Ovis aries: one gene and its partners. The protein of the gene in region 1 purifies or fractionates together with the protein of each later gene. This does not show direct contact. Links are inferred from orthologs where the notes say so. Each region holds a gene or a part of one and is shown on either strand. Other genes may lie near its edges. The genes, in order: MAPK6, ECI2, CEP170 and ECH1.

What was found.
Region 2: the proteins of MAPK6 (region 1) and ECI2 purify together in Homo sapiens (affinity purification with mass spectrometry; 3 studies listed by BioGRID and IntAct, with this or other methods). This does not show direct contact. The link is inferred for Ovis aries from reciprocal best matches to the Homo sapiens genes MAPK6 and ECI2.
Region 3: the proteins of MAPK6 (region 1) and CEP170 purify together in Homo sapiens (affinity purification with mass spectrometry; 3 studies listed by BioGRID and IntAct, with this or other methods). This does not show direct contact. The link is inferred for Ovis aries from reciprocal best matches to the Homo sapiens genes MAPK6 and CEP170.
Region 4: the proteins of MAPK6 (region 1) and ECH1 purify together in Homo sapiens (affinity purification with mass spectrometry; 3 studies listed by BioGRID and IntAct, with this or other methods). This does not show direct contact. The link is inferred for Ovis aries from reciprocal best matches to the Homo sapiens genes MAPK6 and ECH1.

Annotation. Positions count from the first base shown.
Region 1 is NC_056060.1:56,516,293-56,524,188, forward strand, and holds the start of MAPK6 (mitogen-activated protein kinase 6), read right to left. Parts: upstream 4,954-7,896; 5' UTR 4,806-4,953; intron 4,229-4,805; exon of another isoform or gene 2,612-4,228; intron 1-2,611. UniProt on the Homo sapiens protein: Atypical MAPK protein. Phosphorylates microtubule-associated protein 2 (MAP2) and MAPKAPK5.
Region 2 is NC_056073.1:49,166,889-49,174,082, reverse strand, and holds part of ECI2 (enoyl-CoA delta isomerase 2), read right to left. Parts: intron 5,841-7,194; coding exon 5,738-5,840; intron 5,040-5,737; coding exon 4,919-5,039; intron 365-4,918; coding exon 275-364; intron 1-274. UniProt on the Homo sapiens protein: Able to isomerize both 3-cis and 3-trans double bonds into the 2-trans form in a range of enoyl-CoA species. Has a preference for 3-trans substrates.
Region 3 is NC_056065.1:33,148,526-33,156,434, reverse strand, and holds the start of CEP170 (centrosomal protein of 170 kDa), read right to left. Parts: upstream 4,397-7,909; 5' UTR 4,122-4,396; intron 3,811-4,121; exon of another isoform or gene 1-3,810. Other genes in the region: SDCCAG8 (serologically defined colon cancer antigen 8), read left to right, coding at 5,223-5,289.
Region 4 is NC_056067.1:47,917,556-47,925,213, reverse strand, and holds the start of ECH1 (delta(3,5)-Delta(2,4)-dienoyl-CoA isomerase, mitochondrial), read left to right. Parts: upstream 1-2,245; 5' UTR 2,246-2,259; coding exon 2,260-2,311; intron 2,312-3,179; coding exon 3,180-3,381; intron 3,382-3,508; coding exon 3,509-3,597; intron 3,598-7,658. UniProt on the Homo sapiens protein: Isomerization of 3-trans,5-cis-dienoyl-CoA to 2-trans,4-trans-dienoyl-CoA.

The DNA of each region.
Region 1 (7,896 bases):
TTGCAGCTTAGATTATCTATACTATTGAACACAGGAGTATATCAGAAAATTGGCATTGCTTTATAATAACAACTAATACCTAGGCATTCTAGGGGTGTAGGTAGTTAGAAACCTACCATCACTCCAATTTGTAAATTAGGAGGAAATTATTAAATTAAGTCTAAGGGAAGTGAAGTTGCTTAATCCTGTCCGACTTTGTTGCGACCTCATGGACTGTTGCCCACAAGGCTCCTCCATCCATGGGATTTTCCAGGCAAGAATACTGGAGTGGGTTGCCATTTCCTTCTCCAGGGGATCTTCCCAATCCAGGGATTGAACCCAGGCCTCCCACATTGCAGGCAGACTCTTGACCATCTGAGCCATCAGGGAATCCCAAATTAAGCCTAATCAGTTATTAAATTACAGCTTAAATAATTTTAAACTTAATGTGGGCAAAGATCATCTAAATATGTGCTGTCCAATACAGTAGCCACTAACTTCATGCAGTGAAGCATAAATTAATTAGAAATACATATAATTAAAAATTCAGTTCCTTGGGTATACTAGCCACCTGTCAAATGCTCAATTGTCACGTGGCTAGTGATTATCTCACTGGACAACACAGAGTAAAATACTAATACTTCTATCGTCACAGAAAGTTCTACTGGACAGTGATTAGATTCTCAATCTTCCTTTTGATGTTTTTCAGGAGAGTCAATGGAAAGAGCCACTCAGAAGACCTGAGTTTTCCAAGTCAGTCACTAACCAGCGGAGCAACTTACATATGCATCACTTAGCAGTGTTTCCAGAAATGAACATGTGTTTGAATCACTTGAGAATCTAGTTAAACTGTAGCTTCTAAATAAGTCTTGAGATGGGGTCAGGATTCTGCATTTAACTCCCAAATGATGCTAATACTACTGGTTCAGAAATCACCTGTACCAAGATTTTAGATCACTCTGGGCCTCAGTTTCTTGAGCAGTCAAATGATGTACCTGGGGGAAGATAAAATGTCCAGGACCCCTCTGTAAAAACTAACATTTTATAGTTTTATGGTTGTACAGAATTAAATGCACATAGATTTCTCACATTCTGAAGAGACAGTCTCTTTCCTGAATTAAAATTTTTTTTCCCCTATGAAAAAGACATCAAATTTAAATGAAAATCAATGGGAAAATGTCATTTGCTGCAATCTCTGTATACTTTTTCAGAAATGGATTTAAAAGGTGGACATGTTATGTAAGATAAACCTTTTAAAACATATCAAAGGGGATACACTACACTTTCCAAATATGCAGTTCAGAAGGAAAAGAAACATTGGTGGACTCTGCCCATGCCACTATTAAAGGCATCAGTTCCACATGAAAAGCAACTCCCAAGGGGGGAAAAAAAAAACAGTAACTACAATAACATTTTTGTTTTTGTAAAGTCTCAATCAGGACTGAGCAATAAAACCAACCAAAATCTCCATATCTCTAGCAGGCTATAGGGTAATGTTAACAGCCCACAAATCAGGCTGAAGGAGCTGACAGTAGGAAGCCAACAATGCTACAAAGAATTTACTACTGAGGCATGTTCTATTTTAACAGGGGCCCTAAAGTAACATAGAATTCAAGTGGGCAATGCAAACTCAGAACTGTATAGCAACAGGGAGGCTCATCATCATTTCATAAGTCAATACCTCACAGAAGGAAGACAGACTAACATAACCAGTTTATAAATTCTGAATTAAGCATGACAGGTAATTACCTACATTCTTAAAACACAAACACACACTGGAAATACATGTTCAACCTCTAGAAGGCTTTTGAAAGTCTCTAATACTTTCATACTTGTATTTTTATATTTGCTTTAGTAGGAAGTATAAAGTTTGAATTAAACTTTACTAAAGTTCCCCTCTATAAATCATGCAATGTTCTTCCAAAATCTCTTCAAAGACTTAATTCACATTAATACACTTTACTGCCCATAAAACCATTCAAATAAATCACTGAGAAGATAAATAGTATATACAAAGAAAAATATGAGAGTGGCGAGTTTTTCTTCTCACTTTTAAAACACATTGTTATTCTCAATCCCCTTTTTTCTCAATCTTATTTTAGGCCAACCTGCTAAACAATGGCTTTCTACAATCAGTCAAAATATTTTATTACCAAATTTCAATGTAAATCCAAAAGGACTGATGAAAAAATAGTGCCTATAACAATACCTATTTTAACTTTTAAACTAAATTATTATATATTACAGTCTATTAAATTAATATAGATTAGAAAAAAGGAGAAAGCACTATATATAATTCCACCAGAGTGAAATGCTCATGTTCAGAGCTGTATCTGATTAAACACTGCTGTACTTTTACAATACAAACTAAATTCTAGATAGTACAAAGTTAACTTTTACATTACCAATGAAAACAAAATGGTTAATTTCTATCTATACCATAAAAGTACTATCTGTAAAAAAAATCCATAAGAAATCTCTCTCATCAACAGCCAAGGAACTGCTGTGGCATTGGCCAAAAAGTTCCCTCCGGTTTTCACCTAACATTTTACAGGAAAACCCAAACGTACTTTTTGGCCAACCCATAGGATCAAATATTTCATTGCCCCAACTGACTAGCAATTAATTTTACCTTTCTTTTCAACAAATGTTACCAAATTCCACCTGCAGAATATATGATATCCCTTTAAAATGCAATTTTAGAAGCCATTACTTTTTTAGAGAATCTGTGGCTCCTCTGTGTGAGAGAGAATTATAATGTAGACAGGAGCATTTTAGCCTATCATTAAAAAAAAAAATACAGTGTATAAAAAAAAAAAGGGCCACGTAGCAGTCCGTGGGCAGGATGAGTCATCACCCAACTCAAAACTTGCAGCACTTCGAAGCTTCCTCCTACCCGACCCCATCCCCTCAGCAATGTACCCTGAGTCAGCAAACCTTACTATTTTCTGTTATGAATTCTCACGATGTTTAAACGAACTTATGCAAAATGCTGCAACACTTTTAGTACTAACATTTGTCATTAGAACATATACTTTTTCTATCGCAAATTAACTGATCTTCAAATCAATCTTCTCTGGATTCTTTCTTAATCACAGAAAGTAGCAAACATTTTTAATCCTCTTTCGCAAATAACTGAACTACAAAATATGGTCATAGATAAAGGTTTTTATAAATAATCCTTCATTTCCCAGAGCTCTTTTTCTAACAGTAATTCTTAGGTGATTAAAACACGTCCTGCTCAAATCTGGTATATTTCCTAGACGACTGCAATTCTTGAATTCAGGACACCAATAAGCAATTTTACAAGTTTCACAAGGCAATTCTTACTCAGTGATGTGAAAGGACTCTCTGCTCCTTGGCACATAGCAAGCCCTTCCTAAACATGTCGGAACAACTACCCATTCAAGAAATGTAAAGTCTCTGCCACCGATTAGCAAGCCTATTTCAAACATAAATATCTGACATTCTAAGAAGAAACTCTAGAGGCAATTTCCTTTCAGGGCCCAGTCCTGTTTGATCCCTTCAACCTTCTAATTAGACTACTCTTTCCATTTCAGTTCCCCAACGTTCAAGAGAGAGGATGCGTCCCATCAGAGCTTTAAAAAATAACAAGGCTAGACGACTTAAACAATCGGAAAACTACTCTGAAGCTGTTATCGCTCTATTTTGTCCCCTGTTAATTTTTCTTTCCCTTGATAAATCATCTTGTATCTGTAAAAAAAAAAAAAAAAAATACTCAGACTGACTTTGGAGGGCATTTTTAGCGATGAAGGAAAAGAACACGAATTGTGCTGCAAATGCAGTACCTCACGTTAGTGGACCTTTCCCAATGAGCGAGCAAAGGTAGAAACAAAAAGGAAAGGAATCGAAAAGATCCTGCTTCGGAGCGCTCCCACCTAACACCTGAACCAATCTTACCAATTAAGGAACAAAAAGCGGCCAAAAAAATCCTTACTTATCAACGAGCCTCACCAAATCAGAGAAATATGCACCGAGAAGCGAGGAAGCCCTTTTTCTGTGAACAGACAAAACAAGTTTTCATTTGGGGACTTTCACGGACCACCACCGCTGCGCGCGTCCCGAACGCAGCTCAGACAAGACTGTAGTAGAGGGAGGGGGAAGAAATTAGGAATTCCGATTTGGAGTTTTTCTGTACCTCCTTAGCGGCCAGATTCAACTCGGGCAGAGGACTTCGGGGCTCCGCGCCGAGTCGAGTGAGCGGCGCGCTACGCAATGTGCCTTGTGCACTGGGAGACTTTGCCCGGCCGGAGTCAGCTGAGGCCGAGTCACCGGAGTGGGATGGGGGAGGAGACGCGGGAGCATTTCGAAAGGCGGCGTGCCAGGAAGGCTAGACTCCGCGCCACCTCACGCTGCTGAGGCGAGTAGCCCCTCCCGGCCGCCGCCCCGCGTCAGCCCGCCGCCGGCCGGGCCGGGTTTCGAACCTGCGGAGCCAGACGTAAGCGGTCGGCAGGCAGCCGGCAAGCCTGGCCCGAGGCCGGCGCGCACCGCCGGGCCCGGCACCCCGGCCCGCGAGGGGCGTGCCGGGTGGGAGGGGCGCGCCGGCCGCTCTGCCGGCCCCACGCGGGGACCCCGGCCCGCCGCCGGCGGCCCGCGGGAGGACGCGCCGGCCAGGCCCGAGAGAGCGAGCCGGCGGGCGGGCCGAGGGCGGGCGGGAGACGGAACAAAAGCGCCTTTGTTGAGCGACGGCCGCCGGAGGGTCACACACAATGGAGGAGAGAGCCGGCTCAGCCGCCGGGCCCGCCGCGGCGCCCTCCTGAGCCGCCCCGCCGGCGCGCCCCGCACACGCACACACATATACCTACCGGACTTCTCCGACTCATCGAGGGAGTGCAGGGCCCACGGACAGCCCCCAGTGTCGGCTCAGGTCTCCGGCTGTGCTGGCGGCAGCGGCGTCTCCGAGGCTCTCGCTTTGCCGCAGTCGCCGCCATGTAACCCCGACCCGCGAGAGAGGGCGAGGAAGAGGGGGCGGAGGCTCTGGAGCCACGCCCCCGTACGTCACAGGCTCACTCCACGGGTTCCCCCGCCCCCGCCCGGCCCAGCGCGCCGGCACGCGCCGGAATTTCCAACGCCCGGGACTGGGCTCCGCGCGCCGCGGGGGCGGCAAGAGAAGTACGCGGGCTTGTCCCCCGCCTCCGGTTGGATGCGCTGGGCTGGGCTAGGGAGCTGGCAAGGAGGTGAACAGACAGGCTCTCTTCGCTCTGCTACTTGCCCCAGCGTTAGAGCACATGGTGGTCAAACTCTTTGTGAGCGTTTACTGCACACCTACTACGTGCATGGGACTGGACGGCCTAGAGGAGCAAGACTTCCCCATCCCCTGGGAATTAGGAAGCTGGACCCGAAGATGGATGGGCTAGAAAGCAACAGCCAAGGAAGAAGGCAAACGCGTTAAAGGTCAAGTGCTAAGGCAGGCTTCTAAATGAGGTTGCCACCGCTGACCTTTCAGCTAAATGAGAAGGAGCCCTTGAAACTAGAGGAGATGGCCTGGCGGAGGAGGGGGGCTGTTCCTGCGGAGGGAACAGAATGAGCCACAACGTGGAGGAGGGGAGCACCTGGCTTGTTGCAGGAGCTGGGACTAAGCCAGTCTGAGGGAAGCGTAGAATTTGGACCAGAGTGTACAGCGAGGTAAGTGGGAAATGTAGATTGGTACCCTCTTGGGCCCACTAGGACAAAAAAAAAAAAAGCTTATTTATTTATTCATTTTAGTATGGCTGATTCAATCCAGGAAGCCTTCCAGTATTTATGTGAAATGTAGTAGGTATTAAATTAGAGACACAGGTCAACATATTTTTTTCAGGGACCGAATCACCATTCCTGGTGAGAACCAAAGGTTTGGCAACCCGGTATCTATTATTATGCGTATCCTCAAGCTGGAGGCAAAGACCACTTCAAAGCTCACATACTAGCTTGCAGTTAAGTGAGTGGGATGGAGTTTGAATGGTTTATATTTTTTTATATTAAAAGTAATACCATCTGAATAGCAGGTGTGAAGAGGACGCAATGAGTAGATGAAACCAAGAAAAAGGGAAGAGTTGTCCAAACCACAGGATTTCTTATTTGTGAATGCCGCTTTTCTACAACAAGAGCTCCTCTTTGACTACTGTACATCCCTGCTCTGCCTGTTGGAGCTCCCCTGAAATTCATGACACCTTTCTTCCCCCATCCATCAGTGTTTGAACATCAGGAGGAGAGGGTTCAGTTCAGTTCAGTCGCTCAGTAGTGTCCTTCTCTGCGACCCCATGAACCGCAGCACGCCAGGCCTCCCTGTCCATCACCAACTGCCAGAGTCCACCCAAACCCATGTCCGTTGTGTTGGTGATGCCATCCAACCATCTCATCCTCTGTCATCCCCTTCTCCTCCTGCCCTCAATCTTTCCCAGCATCAGGGTCTTTTCAAATGAGTCAGCTCTCTGCATCAGGTGACCAAAGCATTGGAGTTTCAGCTTCAACATCAGTCCTTCCAATGAACACCCAGGACTGATCTCCTTTAGGATGGACTGGTTGGATCTCCTTGCAGTCCAAGGGACTGAGTCTTCTCCAACACCACAGTTCAAAAGGATCAATTCTTTGGCACTCAGCTTTCTTCATAGTCCCAACTCTCACATCCATATATGACTATTGGAAAAACCACAGCCTTGACTAAATGGACCTTTGTTGGCAAAGTGATGTCTCTGCTTTTTAATATGCTGTCTAGGTTGGTCGTAACTTTCCCTCCAAGGAGCAAGTGCATCACGATCTGCAGTGATGAGGAGAGGGTAGAGAATAAATAAGAAGCGCTATGCTTTCCCTTAGGGAGCTTATAATGTGTCAAAGACCACCGAAATAACCTGTTGATCAAGCAAAGCCAAATTTGTTGACAGAGTTTTAGTAGCATCTTAGAGAAAGAGGTCAAGGGTAGGATAGCTTCAGAGAATTTGGGTTAAAAACAGGTCTTTCAGTGAAAGCATTTTTGCTGCTACTGCTGCTGCTAAGTCGCTTCAGTCATGTGACCCCATAGACGGCAGCCTACCAGGCTCCTCCATCCCTGGCATTCTCCAGGCAAGAAGGCTGGAGGGGGTTGCCATTTCCTTCTCCAGTGCATGAAAGTGAAAAGTGAAAGTGAAGTCGCTCAGTCGTATCCGACTCTTAGCGACCCCATGCACTGCAGCCTACCAGGCTCCACCATCCATGGGAGTCTCCAGGCAAGAGCACTGGAGTGGGGTGCCATTGCCTTCTCCTGAAAGCATGTTTGAGATAGGACTACATTTTGTGATATAATATTTGAACTACAAGAAGAGCAAACCAGTTAACCCTAAAGGAAATCAACTCTGAATATTCATTGGAAGGACTAATGCTAAAGCTGAAACTCTAATACTTTGGTCACTTAACTCGAAGAACTGACTCATTAGAAAAGACCCGGATGCTGGGAAACATTGAAGGCAGGAGGAGAAGGGGACGACAGAGGATGAGATGGTTGGATGTCATCACCAACTCAGCGGACATGAGTTTGAGCAAACTCCTGGAGATGGTGAAGGACAGGGAAACCTGGCATCCTGCAGTCTGTGGGGTTGCAAAGAGTCAGACACGACTGAGTGACTGAACAACAAACAACAAATCTTTGGATTATTAGACCTAGGGAAGAGTTTTGAAGCAAACCTTAAAAAGTCAACAAGAGTAGTCTTATGGAGGAGGGGCTGTTTACCTTGATGAAGGCTAGGTCTCTTTGTTGTTCAGTTAAATGGACTTTGACGAAGGTCTTGAAACTGCAGTAGTTATTTGCCACTTCATCTTTTTGGGCAGAAATTTCTTGAAATTAAAATCATGTTTAAGCATATTTTGGGGTTGTAGAGTCATTAATGTAGTCAGTTTAGTTCGTAACTCTTGTGTGGCTGTAAAGAGTTTAAGTTCTCAGTAGTT
Region 2 (7,194 bases), on another chromosome or scaffold:
GGCTGGAGAGGCCAGGGCGGCCCTGGGCGCAGGGGCACCCAGCTCAGCGTGACCCGCTGTCTGCGGAGCGGCAGACCGAGTGCCAGCCCCCTCCACACGAGACCCTCCCCACAGCCCGGCTCCTCTCTTTAAAACCCTTGGATCTGCGGGGCAGACCATGTGCTTCTGTGCCGTCCCTATTATCTATTATCGAGGGAAAGAACAGGGAGTACGGGACGGCTTTTTGGAGTGGAGAGACTTACTCACGTTTATTTTTAAGGCTTCTGAGACCTACCTTGCTTGAGCCCATTATCTTGGGGAAAGTGTAAGAGGAACAGCCTTCCGGACTCTGGCCCAGGTGACTGAATGGGGTGTGAAAGGTTGCCTTTTTGGAGAGAAAAAGAGAAAAGAAAATCATCTTTTCACATGTGATTTCAAAAACATCGCCATCTGTTTGTGTCCTCCTTACAATGCTTAATTGAAGTACTTTATCGTGTCACAGGCAGACCTCACTCCATTGACCTTTTGCTTTACTGTGCTTCACAGACTCTGCTTTTTTCTTTTTTAAAAAAAATAAATTGAAGGTTTGTGGCACCTTTGTATCAAGCAGGTCTATCCATGCCATTTTCCCAACAGTGCTATTTTCAAATTAAAATGTTTTTAAAACATTTAAAAATAGCTCATGGTTTTTCAGACACAATGCTATTTGCACTCTCAACAGACTACACTATAATGTAAACGTAACTTCTCAAAGCACCGGGAAATCAAAAAATTCCTTTGACTCACTTTATTGTGATATTTGCTTTATCCCGGTGGTCTTGAAGTGGACCCACAATATCTTCAAAGTGTGCCCATATACACACAAATTGACTCTCTGAACATACACAGTTTGATGAGTTTTAAACAAATGTATAGTCATGTAGCCACTACCATAGTCAAGATATAGAATATTTCTATTGCCCGTAGTGGTAACGAACTTGCCGGCAGGAGGCATAAGAGGCAGAGGCCCGATCCCTGGGTGGGGAAGATCCCCTGGAAAAGGGCATGGCACCGACTCCAGTGTTCTTGGCTGGAGAATCCCGTGGACAGAGGAGCCTGGTGAGCTCCGTGAGGTCGCAGGGTCAGACTGAGCACACAGCCTCGGGTTCCTCGTGCCCTTCCGCAGTAAGCCTGTTCCTCTCATGCCTGAGCCACCACCGATCCGGCTCTGTTCCTACAGTTTTGCCCTTTCTCAAATGTGTACAAATGGAATCGTGCATCCTGTACCCTCTCCTCCTTTTTCAGGCCTCTGTCCTTAGCAGAAGGCTCCTGGGTCTCCACGTTGCTGTCTCATGTACCAGGATTTTGCTCCTTCTTCTTTCTGAGCGGTACTGCATCCGATGGGTGTGTCAGGAGCCATCTATCCACTCACCAGTTGAAGCCATGGTGGCATTTCCAGTATTCTAGATATTGTAAGCTTATGATGAATGTCTATTTTCAACTCTCTTGGGTAAATACCCAGGCATGCAATTGCTGGGCTGTGTGGTAAATGTGTGGTTTAACTAAGAAGTTGCCAGACTATTTTCAGAGAGGCCGCACCATTTACCACCACCACCAGCAGTGTAAGTCCCAAATGCGCCAAGTCCTCCCTAAACCTTGTCATCAGCATCAGCCTTTTCAGAGTGTTGCCCACTCTCATAGGGGTGTCCTGGTGTCTTGGTGTGGTTTTAATCCCTTGGTGGCTCAGCGGTGAAGAATCCACCTACAATGTGGGAGACCTGGGTTCGACCCGTGGGTCAGGAAGATCCCCTGGAGATGGAAAAGGCAACCCACTCCAGTATTCTTGCCTGGGAAATCCCATGGACACAGGAGCCTGGCGGGCTACAGTCCATGGGGTCACAAAAGCATCACACATGACCGAGCAAGTAAACAACAATGACTAATGATGCTGAGCATCTTTTCACGTGTTTCTCAGCTATTTAGTGCCCTCTTGGGTGAAGGAATTTGCAATACTTTGCCCACTATTTTTAAGGTGGCTTGGTTATCTTTTTATTATTGAGCTGTAAGAGTTCTTTACATGTTCTGTTTACAAATCCTTTTCTTAATGGTGTCTTTCTCATATTTTCAAGAGCCAGTTATACTTTCTTTTCTGTGAGCCGTATTATTCCTCTCCAGCTTGTGTTTCTATATTACGTTGTTGATCCATCACTTTACTAATTCATTTTAAAAACTGTACTAGCAAGGTTGGCCTCTATTGCTGTTTTCTCAATTGTCTCGATTTTGCCCCAGAGGTTTTTGATTGGCTTTAAATACCCAAAACTACTTTAATATTGGTTATTTAGGCTACAGAGTCAGTCAGTTATTCGACTACAATAACTGTGTTTTCCGTGTTTTCCTAGATGTCAGAAATATTTTTGTGTTTCTTGATGAATGAAAAGTTCTTAGGAAATTAACTTATAATTTGACAATTCTGTAAACAGCATATTTAGACTTCATTTTCCATAATCCAGACATGGCTGAGGTTTTTTTCAATGAATACTGTTAGAAGATAAAAACATATGATGTGCAACACAGACAAGTCAAAATAATAAAAGTATAAAGAAAACAGATATTAAGGTCACCTGCCTTCTCTTTTGACCCCAAAAGAAAGCCTTTTGGAGAAAATGTGCTGAGAAGGAAGGAACATAATCAGGAAACAAAGAAGGAGCCAACCCTGGAAAGCGCCACAAACAGGTACACGGAAAGCGAAAGATCTGCGGCGTGTAACTCACTTATAAACATGATTATAAGCAACACTGAGCTAACTGTCAGGAATAAGAGCAATAGAGGCAGAGACGGTTAGATACGGCGTCAGGCTGCCTGGTGACCCTGGAGCTTCTTGACCTCTGTGCCACGGTTTTCTCATCTGTGAAATGGGGATGAGGGCCCCTGCCTCACGGGGCCGTTACTATGGGCACTTACTGAATACGTGTAATGGGCGTCAGCAGAGTGTCTCCTGTGGACTGACCACTCAGTTATCTAGTATTGTTATGACTTCCACCTTTTCATGAGCTCAAAGGGGAAATGTGCTGTTTGCTGATGGAGACACCAATAGACAGGCATGACCTACTGTCCATAATAAAGAATAATTGGTTATATGGGTTAAATGTTAACCCACGTTTAATATGGTATACATTCAAGAAGCCAGGAATGAACAGATCCTATAAAATCAATTCCTCTCCACAGCTTCTTTCTTCTGTGTCTTTCTCTGATTTGAAATTGAATCCTGGTTTAATTCAGTTGGGTGAACTCTCAGCGGTGGTCACTATTTGTCAAATATCTTACTGTGGGCCCAATCTGTCAGCATATATAATACACACACATTTCCCTCTGATTTCAATTTTAATTTAAGTTGTATCATAAGACGGAGTCCTGGGAATCTTTAAAAAGATGATGCCCGTGACAGTCACCTGGAATCTAGTGGGAGAATAAGATGGAAATATGACACTATCTGGCTTTCAAGTCCTACAGAAAGAGACCGCCAAGTTCAGGTCAGGAACTTCTGCTCTCACCCTGCTCAAAGCAGGTCAACTGATGGGTCATTTAACACACAGAATGGGACTGAAGACTGTGAATTTCTGCCTTTGGGCAGAAAGTTCTACCTACAAAGGTTAGGTAGCCAAGTGTCTAGAATTGCACTTGCTATTTTTACGGGGAAATTATTAATAAGTATTAGATCTGACAATATGCCCAATCAGATTGAAAGGAATCCAGTCAAAGATGGAGCAAGGAGTAAAGGACCCTTATAAATGGCCCTGTTACTGGAGAAGGTACCTCCAACAAAACCAGGAATCTCTTCAGCAGCAAAACCCAACTGTTCCCTGCAAGGATACGTGTACGTCAGCAAATTTCATTGCCACAAAAGCAAGAGTCACTCTAAGACTCTGATAACCCTAAGAGGTGGTTATTAGTTCTATAGGAGAAGTTCTAGGGTCAAAGCGCTAAGATAAATGTTTATCACATCTTTGTTTATAAGGAAAAAAACTAGACATGCTAGGGTTCCAGTGTCAGGGACTGGTTAAATTAGGTAAGCTAAATAACCCAAATGTTAGCACTGCTCATCTCTGAGTGGGGAGAGGAGTGATTTTATTTTTTAAAAATGTTTAGCATTTATCTACCTGGCCACAGCAGGTTTAGTGGTGGCATGCAGGCTCTGCACTGTGGCACGAGGGGTCTTTAGCTGTGGCATGCAAACTCTTGCTTGGCACGTGGGGTCCAGTTCCCTGACCAAGGGTGGACCTGGGCCCCCTGCATTGGGAGTGTAGGGTCTTCGCCACTGGACCACTAGGGAAGTCCCAAGGAGTGATTTTTAAATCAGTTGTTTTCCTTGTACTTTTCCATATTTTCCAAATTTTTATTTTCTGCTATGACATACATTACTACTACGGTAGGAACTGAAGTGCAAATCTATGTAATTCAATGGTGAGCACGAGGCAGTAACTTCTCTGAGCTTCGGTTTTCTTATCTGCTAAGGGGGGAGTGAAAGTAGATGCCGCCTGAAAGTCCTTTCTCAGTCTAGATTTCTAGACTCCAGGGTTCACTCACATTGAAAAAAAATGATCAGATAACTCACTTGCATAACCTTCAAAGCTGCTCTGTTTTTTTTCACCCGTGCTTTCAAGTCTGAAGGTCTCCCAACTATTTTAGAGCAAAGTTGAATGAGTCTTGCATCAAAGGCTGAGAGTAAACAGAACCAAAAGGGCTGGGACGATGCTGGAGACAACACTGGTGTTTAGGAAAACTCAGGTTAATAGTGAAGGAAGACCCGTCAAAGACGACTAATTCTTTGGGGAAAATGTAACTTTCATCCCTTCTAACCCCGACCGCATGCCCTCTGTTTACTATCGGCAACGCCAAAGCAGCCTTTGGAGGAGCGTGTCTTCACCAGCCTGACATCACTCGCTTCTGCCGGCGGACTTACCCGGTCGGTCGCGTACACGACATCAAACAGCCCGAGGATGGTGACGGAGATCCCCACGGCCGGACCGTTGACCACGGCCACCAGAGGCTTCGGGAAGTCTATGAAACAGTTGACGAAATCCCTGCAGACACGGCAACAGACAAGCGTGTTGAGCTGTTTGCAACAGCTTCACCGAGGTACAAGCGGGGCCGGGGGCCGGAACGCGCTTCTCTGGGGGGAGCTGGGGACGTTTCCACCTCCGGGCGCCTCCCTGGCCTGCAGCCTGCGATTCACCCAGGCCCCGTCTGCAGGACACTGGAGGGGTGCCTGCAGGGGCCCCGCGGCCGGCCTCAGTTCAGATCCTGCGTCCTGGGCCTTCCGTCAGGGCCGTGAGCCAGCGGCCACCTCGGAGTCGGCACGGGCCGCGGGGTGCCAGCGTGCTGGGCAGCAGGGTGCTGGGCAGCAGGGTGCTGGGCAGCAGGGTGCTGGGCAGCAGGGTGCTGGGCAGCAGGGCCCGTCTCCAGCCCCCTGCGCGCAGCGGGCCGGGCAGCGAGGCGCCCCCAGCCCGGGAGCCTCGGTGCGGCGGCGGCGGTGCTGTCGCCAAGTCGTGAGCGCCACGGCCTCGACGCGGAGACCCGAGCGCGCGCCGGGAGCGGGCGGCCGGGCCCTGGGCGGCTCCGTGCGGAGCGCCCAGGGGAACGGGAGTCACCGCGAGGAGCCAGACGCCCTTCCGGATGGCGGCGGGACAAGCACAGCCGACCGCAGGGAGCCCGGGTCTCTCCTTCCCGCAAGCTCAGACCCTGATGAACGGGCGAGCGCCCGGGGCAGCCGGCGCCTCACCTCAGGAGGACCGCGCTGCTCCGGGCCATCTCCTCCGGGCCGCCGGCCGGCAGGCTCGTGAAGTTGGTCAGGTCGTTCCCGCTGCAGAAGTAGTCCCCGCTGCCTGCGAACACAAGCACGGCGCCACTCCCGCGCCCGCGCCGGGCGCCTCCCGCGCCGCGTTCGGCGAGGGCACCGAGAGCCCGCGGCGCGCCCGCGCCCGCTGACCGGCGGCCGCCGCATTAAGCACACGCGGACGAACCAACGCGGCCGCAGCGGGGCTCGGGGAGGGGCTTTGCCGAGGCGGGGACAAGGGCACTGAGGCCTGCAGGGCGGACTGCGGAGGGGGGACAGGGGCGGGAACAGGGCGGGGTGTTCTCCGTAGCTGACAGCGCGTGTGAGGCTCTGGGGCGGGTCACCCGGCTCGATGGGCCCAGAGAGGCACCATCACAAATGGATGCGTTCAGCCTGCTCTTCTCGGTCCAAGACAGGTAAGTTAGAAGGGAAAGCAGAATTTAGGGAATCTACATGACATGAATTAGAAAGGCAAGTTTAATCGACATAATTATAACTCTACACCTTAACAATCTAGAGTGAATTTACTTTTAATTCTTAAAATTTTAAAATTTAAACATTTATTGTTATTACTTGACCAGGCTGTGTGGCCTATGGGATCTTAGTTTCCCTGACCACGGATTGAATCTGTGTGCCTGGCATTGGGACCAGGGAGGGAGTGGACCACCAAGGATGTCCCTGAAGTTACTTTTTAAGTGTTTCTGGATGATATAAAAAAAAATTAGTCATTTTTTTGCTTCTTAATCTTCAAGGTAGATATTTCAATATACATCTAGTATACATGAAATTTTAACAGATTCTAAAAAAAATCAGAAAAACTGATCATCTCTGATTATAAGCTAGGAATTGATAACAGAACTGCAAAACAAACAAAAATCCTTTCTGAAAACGGAAGGACCTATTATTACAATGCTTAGATGAAAAGAATAGGAAACCAAAGCGAAGGGTATATAGAAAATAACTAAGGAACAAGCATGTGAGCTAAGTCATGTCTGACTCTCTGTGACTCGTTGGACTGTAGCCCACTAGGCTCCTCTGTCTCTGGAGAGTCTCCAGGCAGGAATACTGGAGTGAGTTGCCATGCCCTCCTGGAGGGGATCTTGCTAATCCAGAGGTCGAACCGGTATCTCTTATGTCTCCTGCACTGGCAGGCAGGTTCTTACCACTAGCGCCACCTGGGAAGCCCAGAGAATAAGCACTATTTCTCAGCACTTAATCTTTCGGTTTTCTTACTTGTAAAATACTAGTAATAATAGGGCCTAATCTCATAGAGTTATTGCAAGAAAGCTTAGAAGAGTTACAAATTAAGAAAGCCACCAAACAGATTAAAATGCTTAGCCCAGTGCTCAGCAAATATGAAGTATGATACGCTTGTTGGCCGTTATGACCAGTTATTGTGAAAC
Region 3 (7,909 bases), on another chromosome or scaffold:
ATGACTTCTAAAGTCTCCTCTGATTCTAAAATAATGTGAATTAGGAGGAAATGAATGTTATTTTTTTAAACTTACTGAAAAAAGATGAATGAAAACAATTTTGGCTTCAGTCAAAAAGACAAAGGTTCAGTTAATAGGCTTTACCACTGAGTAATGAATCACACAGAGGCAAAATTATTCACTAACTCAGGACCTCAAGTATTTTCAACTTTAAGTATAAAATAATACCTTACTTATACAAGGTTGCATGAATTACACAGAGACACACAAAATGCCTGGCACTTCGTAGGTACTCAATACACAGTAAGTATTACTCATTGCCTGGAGAATCCCATGAAAAGAGGAGCCTGGCAGGCTATAGTCCACGGGTTGCAGAGTCAGGACACAACTGAACAGCTAAGCACACACATACGTTACTCATGTATTCAGTAAATATTATGTTCCAAAGGGTAGTATTTTCTATATTATTTGTTAGCCACCAATACACTTAAATAATAACTTGTTCTCTGCTGTGTTTTGTTTTCTGTTTTTCAAACCTATGCAATGCATGCTTGGAATTCAATTCTATGTCTATGCCTCGAATAACCTCTATTGGATGAAAGAAATTTCTATAACCTTGGTTTTGTTGGTTTCCTTTCTACCTCTGAATAGGAGTGGGGTTTACTTTAGTACATACCAGCTATGTCATTCATTTTGCCCAAGAAATATAATATACTGTTGCACAATCATTTCAACTAAACTGGACTATATATCCAATTTAATCAAGCATACTAGAGGGCAAGGAGATCAAACCAGTCAATCCTAAAGGAAATCAGTTCTGAATACTCACTAGAAGGACTGATGCTGAAATTGAAGTTCCAATACTCTGGATACCTGATTCGAAGAGCTAAATCATTGGAAAAGACTCTGATGCTGGGAAAGATGGAGGGCAGGAGGAGAAGAGGCCGACAGAGGATGAGATGGTTGGATGGCATCACCAACTCAATGGACATGAGTTTGAACAAACTCCGGGAGATAGTGAAGGACAGGGAAGCCTGGCATGCTGCAGTCCATACAGTCTCAAAGAGTCAGACATGACTTAGCAACCAAACAACAACTACTGACAGATGTTTTCTTACTCTTTTAGACGGCCTACACTGGCTACTCATTGCTGAGCACTTCCCTCGAGAAATATTTGAGTAAATAAAGACCCATTTCACCAAGGGTAGTTATTAGAAATCTTAGTTATTAACAAAAGTTTATGAAATATAAATAGTCTGAGGTTTCTCCCCATTAGAGGAAACTCATTTTTTACTGAAACACATAACACTTAATGCTTCAGTCAATAATATTTATCCACCAAATTTTTTTCAGACAGTATGCAATTCTTTTTTATATACTTGCAGAATAATTCACAACTATACAGATATTTCAGTTGGCAGTTTAATATCATGCTGTCTGTTAAGATATTTATAAGGACAGTATACTGGTTATCCCCCCAATGTTCATGATAAAGAAGAAAAGAAAATCACTACACATTAATTAAAATACCAAGTTATTTACCAAGTTATTTTTCAGGGACAGAATTTTGTTGAGTAAAAACCATACTGACAACAAGTTTAAACATTTACAGTATTTAGTACTAGATGAGTGACAGCTGGTCACTATCAGATGCAACAATAAAACTAGTTTCGGGAGGCTTTTGGGTTTTTTTTAAGAGATAAAAGGAAACAAGAAACTGATACTTGGAACAAATAAAACAAATCCTTAAGCAATAGGGTTTTTTAAATCACCTAGATATTCATACTAATTGACACTATGTATGATAATTTTATAGCGTAAATTTGAAAAGCATGCAGAGTTATTTACTTCCATAATAAAGTAATTTTAGCACATCATTAAATTTAAAAGTAGAATACATTTCAAGTTTGATTTAATTCCACATGATGAATTTAATTACAGATTATTTTTAAGTAAGACGAAATTTAAGAGACATACTAATTCTCTTTTAAAAGTCTATCAAAATACAATGTAGAACTAAAGGATTAAAAAGTATAAGACAATAAAACCACTTTCTGGCAAAATCAACTGAATAAAAGAGCATAATTTTAATTAAAAAGTTCAATGTGAATTTTCTTCCCTCAAACAGTAAGCTCTTGTTTAACTTGAATATAACAAAATTCACTGAATTTAAGAACGATGAACTTCATGAGCTCCTATAACAGTTTATAGAGTTGATCATACTATAAAATAGTATTGAATAGCAAAAGATAACATTAAAATATGGTTACTAATATGAAGTAGGGGGAAAATTCCAACAGTTTCTGTTTTTACGAAAAGCCCACTTTAAGGCATCTTTTCCTGTATCAGAAAGTTAACTTATAAAACTAAAGTTCCTCTTCATTAGTATTGCTTTTACATCAAAAGAAAAAGACTAGATAATACGACTATGAGGTATTAATAAACTTGACTGTCACAGACAAAGAGCATGCAGAAAAGCATTCCACAATTTTGACAGGGTAGGGGGACTAAGGGACACAGATGAAATAGCACATTGGAAAAAAGACCTTGGTTTTATCTGACTCTGCCTTTCATTAGCAGTTGGGCTTGGACAGACAAATCAGTTGACTTTCCAAGTTTTAATATCTTCCTCTGTCTCTGTCAAGTGCATTTAGATTTTTCAGTTTTAAAACAAAAAAAAAATTCTACAAAATTTATAAAGTTAGGAAAAAGTAAAAGCAGCACTGGTTTTACTATTTAAAGAAACTGCAGAAAAATACAAAATGGTTTGTAACGTGCAATGTAGTATTTCCAGAGTAGAATTCCTATATCATTGCACATGCCCCGCTAAGGTTATATTAGTGAAGATCTGGATACTGTATTCATAATGTAACTCTCTCCTTTCACATCATTCCTCCACCGGGTCCTCCCCTTCCTGCTTCAATCTCTTTTGCTGGTTTTAATGCCAGCAAACGACTGTATGCACTGTAAGCTTAACAATAAAATCATTTTAAGCAATGCATTTTCAATCAAGTGCATCATCTACTTCACTAAATTTCTCCCAAGCGGGTAAATTTTCATTAAGAGAATAAAAACATGCATTTAAAAATTCAGAAACAGAAATGTACCAGGCCTATTTTTAATTCTGAGTGCTTAAAAAACAAAACGGAAAGATGTATCCTACCCTATTCCCTTAGGAACGTGAATGCGTTACCCACCCAATGAAAAAACATTCTGCTTGTTCATCTTCCTGCTACACAAACAGCTTTGTCGTCAGGCCCTTCCTAGTCCTTTCTTCATCGTGATCTAGTAATTTTACATGGATCACCTTGGCAATGCTTGGACAGGCACTGTCCCTGTCTTCCTGGAGCTTACATTTTCAAAAAAAAAAACTCCGCTAAACACTAAAAAAAAAAACAAAAGCCCAGAGATTTTATGACTTAGGATCCAAATCCCACATCTTCCCGCCCCTGGTTAGGCAGCTGCTAATTCTTCTTCCCCTGGCAATGAGGGGACCCATACCAAAGCCCACATTTGAATCTCAGGACAATGAAGTCGACAGGAAGCCACTCTCTCCTCCCCCGGGTTACTACGGAGCCACAGCCTGCGCGGGTGCTGTGGCCCGGCGGGCTGAGTGACACCACATCTTCCACGCCCTCCCACCACGTCCAAAACGCTCTTCGCCAGACCTCTCCATACCGCCCCACACCCCAAAACCAACCACACAAAAAGGGTCGACACCGGGAGCTGCTCAGACCGGGAAAAACCCCTTCTCCAGCTGCAGCGCAGCCATTCCCTCCACTGCTCCGCCCGCACCCCTGCAAACAGCTCGGGCGGAGGGGGCTGCACAAAGCCAGGACAGCCAAAGACGACTCAATACGTGGACACTAGCAGGGGAAGCCGGGCCGCTGGACCAGGGGACGCGGGGTTGGGGTGGGGGGTGGGGGGGGACTCTGGGGGGATGGGCGTCCCCGCCGAGTCCCAGGTCCGGGGGAGGGGGCGGCGCGCGGAGCCTCGGGGAAGCGCCCCTCGCCGCTGGCCCTCACCCTCGCCCGCTGCGGGCCGCGCCCGAGCCCCCGCTGCAAACCCGAGGAGCAGGGTGTGGAAAGGCGGCGGCGACGGCATCAGAGCGCATCACTTACCCCTCACTGCTGAGAGGCACCGGACGGGGGGGCGGGGCGCGCCGCGTCCCGTGAGTCTTTCGCAAGCGTCCTCCCCCACCCTGTCGTCGTCGCCGCCGCCGCCGCTGTCGAGCTCTGGGCCCCTCGGCGCTGCTGGGCAATAACGTTATTCCACACACGCTCCGCACATAGCGGTAACGGCAAGGAGCGGCCGCTCAGTGCGCAGGCGCCTGGGGAGAGGGCGAGGAGCCCGGCCCTACCCCTTCTCCGGCCCAGTCCCGGCGAACTCCTACTGCGCAGGCGCCGAGCACAGACAATGAAAAGGAGTTGTGCGGAGGGTCTCAACCACAGGCCTTTCCAGCTGCTGACTGCGCAGGCGTACGCCGAAGACCTGCTTCAACAATGAACAGGACCCGGGCTTTAGCTGGGACCGCAACGGGCTGGGACTACAGTTCCCAGCGGGCAGTGCGCCAACACTAAGCTGCTGTCGGGTCGCTGGGCTTGATAAGATTGCGTGTCAGCCGCTTTCACGATCTACGCCGTTTGGGAAATTCAGAGCTTCTTTTTCCTGAAAATTTATTTAGCAGTGTTGAGAGATGTTGAGGCTGAAGGGTGTAGGAGCTCGTTATTTGCGTTCTTGAGAATCCTCAAGAATCAACTGCATATTAGTGAATTTAGAAGAATAAATAAAGCCTTTCAACGAGCCCTTTCTGTCAGTTAGGTGGTCCAGACAGTAGGATGGGATGAAGGCAGGACTAAGCCTGACTAGGCTACAGAAATGGGCGGAGCCTCCAAGCAGTCTCTTGGCAACCGGATCTGGTCGCCAAACCGCCAGAGCGTGAGCTTCGAGCGCGTTGCCCTCTGGGAATTGTAGTCTTTGGGCGGGTTCGTAGGAACTTCGAGACTGTAGACTTAGACACTGAGGACTACAGCTTCCGACGTCCACCACGAGGCCCCGAGGGTGGAAAAAGGCCCGAAATCTCCGGGATTCCTTGATCCCCTGTGACAGCAGCTGCAGGAAGCAGGCGGGCGCATCCTAGGGGCTGAGGCCTCTTATTCTTGGAGGGGAGGACACTGGACACTTCCGCACGCAACACCCATCTCTGGCCCCCGAGTGTGTGCATGGCGAAGTCCCCGGAGAACTCTACCCTGGAGGAGATTCTGGGGCAGTGTCAACGTAGTCTCCGGGGTGAGTTTCTCCGAACCTCTGTGCCCTAGCTCCTTGATACCGGGACCTCGTGGCTGGGAGTTGACCTGGTGCGATTCTTGACACCTTGGTCCAGCCTTTGCCAGACTGCAGAGAAAGAAGATGGATGTTGCTGTGGAAGGATTAAATAGTTGTGTTTGTTTTTACGTTTAAGCAGCGTTGTTTCCCTTGATTCCCATAGTGACCTGAACCAACTCCCTGATTGTCTTGGGCATCTTTTTTACCCGAGGCCCGCAGAAACTCTTGGATGGCTATATGCCTGTTCTGTCCAGCTCTCATACCTCTCTTTATAATCCAGTAAATTCCTGATGCTCTCTTTACACATTCATATTATGTGTAAAATTGAATGTGGTTTATTGGACCCGGGGCAGGGGAGGGGGGTCGGGTGACCACTAATAATTATTTTAATCGCAACAGCTTCTATTTAGTGGTCTAGGCTATTTACATATATTAAATCACTTAAAACTTACAACCTTATGACTGTCCTTCTACACATGGGGAAATAGAGGTCGAAAAGGTTAAGTTAGGCCAAAGCCAACATAGCTGGTTAGTGGAAGAGCCAGGTATTAAATTCAGTTAGACTTGTCTGCCTTGAAACCCTGTTTGTCTTTATTAATCATGTCTCAGTTACTATTACTGAAACTTTATTTAGTTAATTCAGATTTTCTTACTATAGTACCCAATGAGTAGCATAAGAAAATCTGAATTAACTAAAGTTTCACTAATAGTAATCGTGATATCATTAATAAAAGTGACGTAGATAGTCTATCATCTTGAACATCCCATATAACATCTAGAAAACCTCATTTCTCTTATTTTAAGGTAGAAGTTATGATATTATCTACATGGTTCTTGTGAGGAGCAAATGAAATAATTCAAATAAAGCAGTGATTCTTCAGACTTTTTGTTAACTCTTAGCCGTAAGTAAAAATATATTTTATATGAGTCATATATATAGGCTAGGGGCTTCCCAGGTGACTTAGTGGTAAAGAACTTGCCTGCCAATGCATAATACACAGGAGACAGGAGTTCAATACCTGGGTGGGAATGGTTCCCTGGAGGAGGAAATGGCAACCCAGTTTTCTTGCCTGGGAAATCTCAAGGACAGAGGAGTTTGGCGGGCTACAATCCATACAGTCGCAAAGAGTTGGCCACGACTTAACCACTGAGCATGCGCGCATGCATACAGACTAAAACAAAAGTTTCATTAAAGAATATTTATTCTACTAGAAGTAATTCACTCCACTTTCTGTTCCTTTGCCTTTTCTTAACCCTTTAGGTCATGACCAACAGCTTTACAAATATTTAAAGCATTTAAAACGTTGACTCATTCATTAATTTAGTGCCTACTATGCATTAGACATACCACATGCTGAGAATATCATAAGGAACTACACAAAGTGACTGTCCTCAGGAAGATTTTGGATTAATGCAGTGAAGGACAGTAAAATAGCTACAGATTATCACGATTAAAAAAAGAAGAAGGGTAAAGATCAGTACTTGACACATAAGCCCTTGTTAAATGTTAGCTGTAATTTATAATTGGTACTTGTGGCAAAGTGAAGATTTTTTGAGGGGATAAGAGACTTGAATCTAGTGAGTCTAGACTTTGAAAGGTTATTACCTATTGTTTCCATCTGTCAGCAGTGTTATAAACTGTCAACATTCTCAGTATTCTAACTGCAAGAGTAAAATCACTAGTCTGGATGAACATCTTCATCAGCCTACTGATGTTTCAAGAGGTGTTAGATACAGAAATAACCACTTCTAACTTTTCATTTGAAAACAAGAAAATACTGTGCAGAATGATAGTACCAGTGGCATTTAATTTTTGAGGTTGGTTAAAAAAAAATTCTGTTTTCCATTATGTTCCTCCTAGTTCTTCTCCTTTAACCTTAGTATGAACCTTTATTTAAACATTTGAGACTATTTAATATTAGGCATTTTGATGCAGTTAATTTCAAACTGTTGTAGTCGTGTCCGACTATTTGCGACCCCATGGGCTGTAGCCTACCAGGCTCCTCTGTCCATGAGATTTTCCAGGCAATAGTACTGGAGTGGATTGCCATTTCCTTCTCCAGGGGATTGAACCCGGCTCTCCTGCATTGTAGACAGACACTTTACCGTCTGAGCCACCAGGGAATTCATGTATTTAATACCCACAATACTGCTTTCAGTAATTATAGAGTGAAGAGTTCTTATTCAAAGATAAGATATTTTAAAATGAAATAAAAATTTAGTGTTATAACAATATAAGATAGTGAAAACATAATCAAGAGCAAACAAAGCAGAGAAAAGTTTGTTATTAATTTTTAGTGATAGTTTTAACAATAAATTGAGAAATGCAACTAGGAAATTTTCATCGGTTTTCAGCACTTATCATTTATTTAGTAGCATTTTAATTTTTATGTTTATTTATGAAATAGTTTATATAACAGCTTATGGAAGGAAACAAAACAGAACTAATACTGAAGAGAAGCACAATCAGAAGTTCTTCACTTCACACATTATCAATGACCATTTTTAGATAGAATAATTCCCGTTTAAAGTTAAAATGTGTGTTTCTGAATAAACACAGTATGATGGCATTATTTTGTATATG
Region 4 (7,658 bases), on another chromosome or scaffold:
TTGGCAGCCATAACTTACACAATCTACTAGGTTTTAAGCTACTTGGGTAAAAAGTAAATTTACCTACTCTGACTCCCAGGGGCACTCAGCTTTCATCCCACGTTATATTTCCTAGGTAGCCTGTGCATAAGTTTACTCAGACCCACGTCCATTGAGTCAGTGATGCCATCCAATCATCTCGTCCTGTCAACCCCCTTCTGCCTTCAATTGTTTCACAACTGTCTTTTTATACCAACCTAACTAAATGTACTACCTCTTTAAATTTCTCTCAAATCTTGGTACTTGCTTAGTAGTTCCAGATAACCAAACAGTTCTGTCTTCCAAAAGAGCTTTACCATCTGACATGTGAAGAAGGCAAAATGGGACTTAGCTAGCAAGTCAAGGGTGCAGCCAAAAGAGGAGAAAGACAGCAAAATATTCATTTCAGTCCCATGTGTCAGGGACACCTGTTCACCTCCTACAAGAGCATACTTAAGCACTTCAATAGCACTTAAAAAAAAAAAAAAAAACAGGCTTTAGAGTGCTGGCTCAGAAATAGTGGCCCAGGGGCTTGGTTGCTCCATAGCGTGTGGAATCTAACCTCACCACTGATCCAACCTGTCCCTTGCATAGCAGGGCGGATTCTTTACCACTGGACCCCCAGGGAAGCCCCAGTTTTGCTTTGTTTTTTAATACTCTAGGGTTAACTAGCTTTTTCCAAAGTCATTTTACTTTTGAAAGAAAGTTTCAACGTGTACTTACTGTACATATAAATCCCCTCTAGCACTCCTGAAGCTCAGAGATCTTGAACTAGTGACTTCTCCCCAGCCAGTTTCTTCTGCATACAAATGTAAAATAGACCTGGAGCAAGTGAGGAGGTAGATGTAACAGTAAGACCCCCGCCCCCAGCAGCCTACGAGGGGCCTTGGTTTAGGGAGACAGACGTGAAGATGGGCTTCCCTGGTGGCTCAGTCAGTAAGGAACTCCTGCAGTGCAGGAGAACCGGGTTCTTTGGGTGTGGTGGGGCAACTCAGATTACACAGAGTTTAACGTTGGGCCGTCTGTATTCACATTCCATTATGTGGATAACTTTGGTGGGAACTATTTTTTCCTTTTTAGTTAAGTCTCTCAGTCGTGTCCAACTCTTCGCGACCCCATGAATTGCAGCACGCCAGGCCTCCCTGTCCATCACCAACTCCTGGAGTTCACTCAGACTCACATCCATCGAGTCAGTGATGCCATCCAGCCATCTCATCCTCTGTTGTCCCCTTCTCCTGCCCCCAATCCCTCCCAGCATCAGGGTCTTTTCCAATGAGTCAACTCTTCACCTGAGGTGGCCAAAGTATTGGAGCTTCAGCTTCAGCACCAGTCCTTCCAATGAACACCCAGGACTGATCTCCTTTAGGATGGACTGGTTGGACCTCCTTCCAGTCCAAGGGACTCTCAAGAGTCTTCTCCAACACCACAGTTCAAAAGCATCAATTCTTCGGTGCTCAGCCTTCTTCACAGTCCAACTCTCACATCCATACATGACCACTGGAAAAACCATAGCCTTGACTAGACGGACCTATGTTGGCAAAGTAATGTCTCTGCTTTTGAATACACTATCTAGGTTGGTCATAACTTTTCTTCCAAGGAGTAAGCGTCTTTTAATTTCATGGCTGCAATCACCATCTGCAGTGATTTTGGAGCCCCAGAAAAAGCCTGACACTGTTTCCACTGTTTCCCCATCTATTTGCCATGAAGTGATGGGACCAGATGCCATGATCTTAGTTTTCTGAACGTTAAGCTTAAAGCCAATTTTTTCACTCTCCTCTTTCACTTTCATCAAGAAGCTTTTTAGTTCCTCTTCACTTTCTGCCATAAGGGTGGTGTCATCTGCATATCTGAGGTTATTGATATTTCTCCCGGCTATGGTACAAAGGCATGATTGCAAACTTGGGAGGTCGGCAGTTATTTCGCCATTATGCCCGTGGACATTCAGTTGTCTCCAGTTTCTCCTTTATGAAACAGCTGTGATGAACTTTGTACAGAATGTTCAAAAGCAGTGTGAACTATTTTCTTAGGCCAGGTTCCTAGTGGATTAAAGGTTTCATGTCAAATCACTCTAATGGCCGCGAATTTAGAAGACTGTTTCCGGTTGCCCTTGATAAAGATGGCGGAAAGGGGAACCGTCTCCGCCGTCAGCCTGCGGCTTCGATGCCCTCACCAAGTATGGCGGCCTCTTGTCCCCGCCCCCATAAGCTTACTCCCGTCGCGTTACACCACCAGTCAGTAGCAATGGCGGCAGCGTTTGCGGCTTTTCGGCGATTCGGCGACTTGCTTACCCGGCGTAAGTCACCTCTTGATCTTTAAGGGGTCCGTTGAGCTGTCGTCCTGTCATCGCGACAGCTGGACGGAGAGGCCTGTCCAGGGTCACCCAGGGTTCGAACCCCTTATTAAACTCACGGGTCTATGTGCCCCCATCCAGAGGGCTTCTGGCTTACAGTTGGGCCGCTGACAAGCTCAGTGTACTCAGTCTGGAGTGAGTACCACGATCACAGGGCTTTCTGGGTGGCGCTAGTGGTAAGAACCTGCCTGCCAATGCAGGAGACTAAAAGACGCGGGTTCAATTCCCGGGTCGGGAAGATCCCCTGAAGAAGGGCACAGCAACCCACTCCAGTATTCTTGCCTTGAGAATCCCATGGACAGAGGAGCCTAACGGGCTATGGCCCAGAGGGATTGCAAAGAGTCAGACACGACTGAAGCAACTTAGCGTGCACCACAATCGTGGGTCTGAAGTGATCCTCAGACTGAGGCCACTGATAAATGCACCTGAATCTTAAACTCTGGTGGGGGTGGTGGTGCTTTAGTCACTCCATGGCATCTGGCTCTTGTGACACCATGGACTGTAGCCTTCCAGGCTCCTCTGTCCATGGGATTTCCCAGGCAAGAAAACAGGAGTGGGTTGCCATTTTCTTTTCCAGGGGATCTTCCTAATCAAGGCGGTGGAACCCAGTCCTCCTGCATTGCAGGCAGATTCTTTACCGAGTGAGCCACTAGGGAAGCCCATCTTAAAGTCTATATCCCCTAAACCAAGGCCTCTCATAGGCGTGTGTCCCCCAACCTAGTGTCAACTGAGATGTGTACCCTCTGCCCTTGAAGGTGCTGTGCCCCATATTCAGGGTCATCAAAGGCACTTCCTACCTCTGTCTCCCCAGGACTGACAGCCTCCACCAACCTGGGTCTCAGCCTTCGCCCAATGAGTGCCTCTGCACAAGAGGAAGCCTCCGAAGCATCCCCAGAGGAAGCCCCAGGCCACAGCTATGAGTCCCTTCGGGTGACAGCTGCCCAGAAACATGTTCTGCATGTGCAACTAAACCGGCCTGAGAAGAGAAATGCCATGAACAAGGCCTTCTGGAGGTCTGGCCTGCAGATCCTGGAGGCCTGCCTGCACGAGGAGGCAGGGGCTGAGGGACTGGGCAGGGGAGGGCCTGAGGGCAGGGGATTCCCACCCCGACACAGCCCTTCCTCCTTTCCCCCTCCGCAGAGAGATGGTGGTATGCTTCAACAAGATTGCAGAAGACTCTGACTGTCGTGTGGTGGTGATCTCTGGTGCAGGAAAAATGTTCACTTCAGGTACCAGCTGCTCTCCACACCCACCCCTGCCAGTCTCCCCTGCTCCTGGGAATAGAATAATGCTTCATAATTAGGGTTTTAAGCAGCTTCTAAATTCTGCTTTGTATGCATGCTAAGTCGCTTCAGTTGTCCGACTCTTTGCAACCCATGGACTGTAGCCCACCAGGCTCCTCTGTCCATGGGGATTCTCCAGGAAAGAATACTGGAGTGAGTGGCTGTGCCCTTCTCCAGGGGATCTTCCTGACCCAGAGATCGAACCCATGTCTCATGTCTCCTGCATTGGCAGGCAGGTTCTTTACCACTAGCGCCACCTTTTACTTGGGGAAAGTGAAAGAAAGTGAAGTCACTCAGTCGTGTCCGACTCTTTGCAACCCCATGGAGACCAGGCTCCTCTGTCCATGGGATTTTCTAGGCAAGAATACTGGAGTGGGTTGCCATTTCCTTCTCCAGGGAATCTTCCCGACCCAGGGATCAAAGCCAGGTCTCCCACATTGTAGACAGACGCTTTACCGTCTGAGCCACCAGGGAAGCTCTTACTTGGGGAAGGTCTACTTAAATCATTTTCAAATGTAGAAATTAGTCCAACAAAAGACAGGATCACGGGCTCTAAAGTCTGGGTTTTCAAGCTGAATCTATGGCCTTGATCAAGGCCCTTGACCTCTCAGTCTTTTTTGTGTGTGTCAATAAAATGTGTTGTGATAATTACATGCTTTCTGGGGATTTCCCTATCAGTCAGTCCAGTGTTAGGATTTGGTGCTTTCACTGCAGGGGCCCAGGCTCAGTCCCTGGTTGGCGAACTAAGATCGCCAGCTGCACATGAAGTGGCCAAAACCTTTTTTTCTTAAATACATGCTTTTGTGCAATTAATTTTGAACCTACATGAACTGATTTTCTGTCTGTTGGGTCTTTTGATTGTCCCACAAGTCTATTCTTCAGGTTGGATAATTTCCATCTATCAGGTTCATCATCTCCTTTGTCATCTCTCTTCTGCTGTTAAACCCATCTAGTGATTTTTTTTTTAATTTCAAGGTGTAAAAAACCCAATATTGCAGAGCGCAGTACCATGAGATATGCCTATATCGTAGATTCCACTTTTTTTTATATAGTTTCCATTCTTCTGCTGAAGTTTCATATCTTTTTATTCGTCGCAATCATATTTTTCTTTGTGTCATTCAGCATGGTTACAATGGCTGTTTTAAAATCCTGTCTCCTGATCCCAACATCGGGGCCGCCTTGGGGGTCAATCTCTGTTTATTACCTTTTCTCTTGAAAAAAAAAAAAAAAAAGGGTCTCATTTTCCTGTTTCTTTGTTTTTGGAGTAAGGTTGGATTGCATGTATCCTGGATGTTGGACTATGGGAGAAAATGATGTGGAAATTCTAGATCCTATTACATAATTCCATAGTGCTGAATTTCCTGTTTTAGCAGCTAAGTTGATATCAGTTTTTAAATCTCTTTGCTGGGCTGTAGGTCTGGTTCATGGGATCTCTTGTTATAGACATTTGGGCAGAGCTCATACACAGAATCTGGGGCTCCCCTCTCTGGCTGTCTGCTTTCTGGAATTTTCCCCCCCTCATTTTCCATCAGTTGAGGTCCCCCTGGGCTCTGTCCTGTGGTTCTTCAGGCACAACTTCACCCTGTACTCAGGTTAAATAAAAAAAAAACCAGGTAACTCACTTGGCTGGTTCCTTCTAGAAGAATCTGCTTGGTGCCCTCAGGTAATTGGACCTTGTTCACCTAGGGCACATAGTTGGCATCTGTGGGAGGCTCCATGCCAGAAGTGAAGGGTCACATACACTGATTTCTGCACAGGGCCCAGCCCAGTGCTGGGTACCCGGCGGTGACTGAGATAGCCCCAGGCCCTGCCCCTCATTCAGTGGGGAAGACTGGACATTAAACAATGTACTTCTTTGTGTTTCCTCTCTTTCCTTCTGTGCCCTTGTTCTTTCTGTTCCTCTGTAACATTTTCGCCTGTCCCTTGTTTCCTTTTTCTGTTCTCCTTCATTTCTTTGTTCATCCATTCAACATTCAGCGACATCACTCCAGTGTCAGCCCGCTTCCTGGGTGACACCAGCCTTGAAATAGGACAGGATGAGGGTTCATCTCTAGCTGTGCCAGGCCAGAGGTCCTCATCTTTCAGCTCTTAGTTGATTGTGCCCATTTCGTCCCATTTTCAACCTAAAGGCCAGAAAGAAGACATTCAGTTTAATTAGCAGTTTTAAAGATTGAATGAAACTGCTAATTAAAAAAAAAAAAACCAGTCCAGACTTATTTACATTTGTGGAGTGTCTCTAAGCACTTTACACATGTTAATTAATTCTCACCACAGCCCTATGAGACAAGCTCAGTCATCATCCCCATTTGATAGAGGAGGAAACTGAGACCCACAGAGAGCAAGAAGTGTATCCAGTCCTCACTGTTTGGATTTTTGAATGTGGGCTGCCTGGCTGCAGAATCCTTGCCCTTCACCACTGAGTGACTATGGCCCAGATGTGTGGCAAGCTGATTCAGAGTATTCCTGGCCCAGTAACCAGCCACCTGCCACCTCTACACACCTTCACCTCTCTGTGAGCCTCTGATCTGAAGACAGTGGAGATGCTATGAGCACCCATGGGTGCAGTGGTAAAGAATCCACCTGCCAAGCAGGAGACACAGGTTTGATCCCTGTGTCGGGAAGATCTCCTGGAGAAGGACATGGCAACCCACTCCAGTATTCTTGCCTGAGAAATCCCACAGACAGAGGAGCCTGGCAGGCTACAGTCCATGGGGTGGCAAAGAGTTGGACACAACTTAGCAACTCATCACCCCCCTCATCTGGTTGCATCAAGGATTAAACGAGTTAACAGGCACCAAATGTTAACTCATGTGAAACTTTTATTGATGTAGCTGTTATTCTTGATGATGATGAATAACTTAATTGTGACGATGAATGAGATCTGAAACATTTAGAGGTTCCCAGGGAGCGAGATGGGAGACTCCTCAAAAACAAGTTCTGGCTCTGGAGGGAAAAGACCTCGTGCCATAAGCTGGGGCCCTTTATTCCAAGGGGTTGCAGACAACCACCCATGTCTGAATATCCAAGTAGGGCAGATAAACCAGCAAAGCCAGTGGGAGGAGGTGTCGCAAGTTGCCGAGCTGAGTTTGTTCTGGGAGTAAGCGTGGTTCCCACTGAGTCATACAAGCTTCTCAGACCTGGTATAGAAGCCAGCAGATGCCTGCAGACTGATGCAGGCGGTTCTGGCCTTGGCAGAGATGGAGTGTATAATAATAGGAACTATTGTGATGCCATTACATGCCAGGCACTGCTCAAAGCGCCATGAGCTCTGTCTCTTGAATCCTTGCAGCCCCATGAGCTCTCGGGAGGGTTTTAGCCTCAATTTTCAGAGCAGAGACCCAGAGGATGGAGTGAACTGGCTGAGGTCACACAGAGTTCTTTTTTCTTTTTTAAAAATAATTTTATTGTATTTATTTATTTTTGGCTGTTCTGGGTCTTCATTGCTGCGAGGGCTTTTCTCTAGTTGTGGCGAGCAGGGGCCACTCTCTAGCTGTTGCATGAGGGCCTCTCATCGCGATGGCTTCTCTTGTTGCGGAGCAGGGGCTCTAGGGTGCAAGGGCTTCCGTAGTCGCAGCTCCTGAGTTCTGGAGTGCAGGTTCAGGAGTTGGGGTGCCCTGGCTTAGTCACTCCACAGCATGGGGGGTCTCCCTGGCCCAGGGATTGAACCCGTGTCACCTGCATTGGCAGACGGATTCTTTACCACTGAGCCACCGGGGAAGCCCTACTTTATTTTTATTTGAAGGATAATGGGGTTCTATCCTACTCATATTTAACTTGCACAAACTCAGCTCTGCCCTGAGTCAGCACTCCTCTGCCCTCACTCATTTAAACAAGCTGCAGAGGCCACAGAGCTATAGAGGGTCAGGGCTGTGGCCGAATGTGGGACTGATTTTTCCAGCTTTGTCAAATTGTGCTGTTCAAACAAGCGAAAGGATGAGAATGATTAACCTCAGGGAGAGGTTAATTCTGCTCAGAACCATCCTGTAGCTCCGTCTCACTCAGAGTCA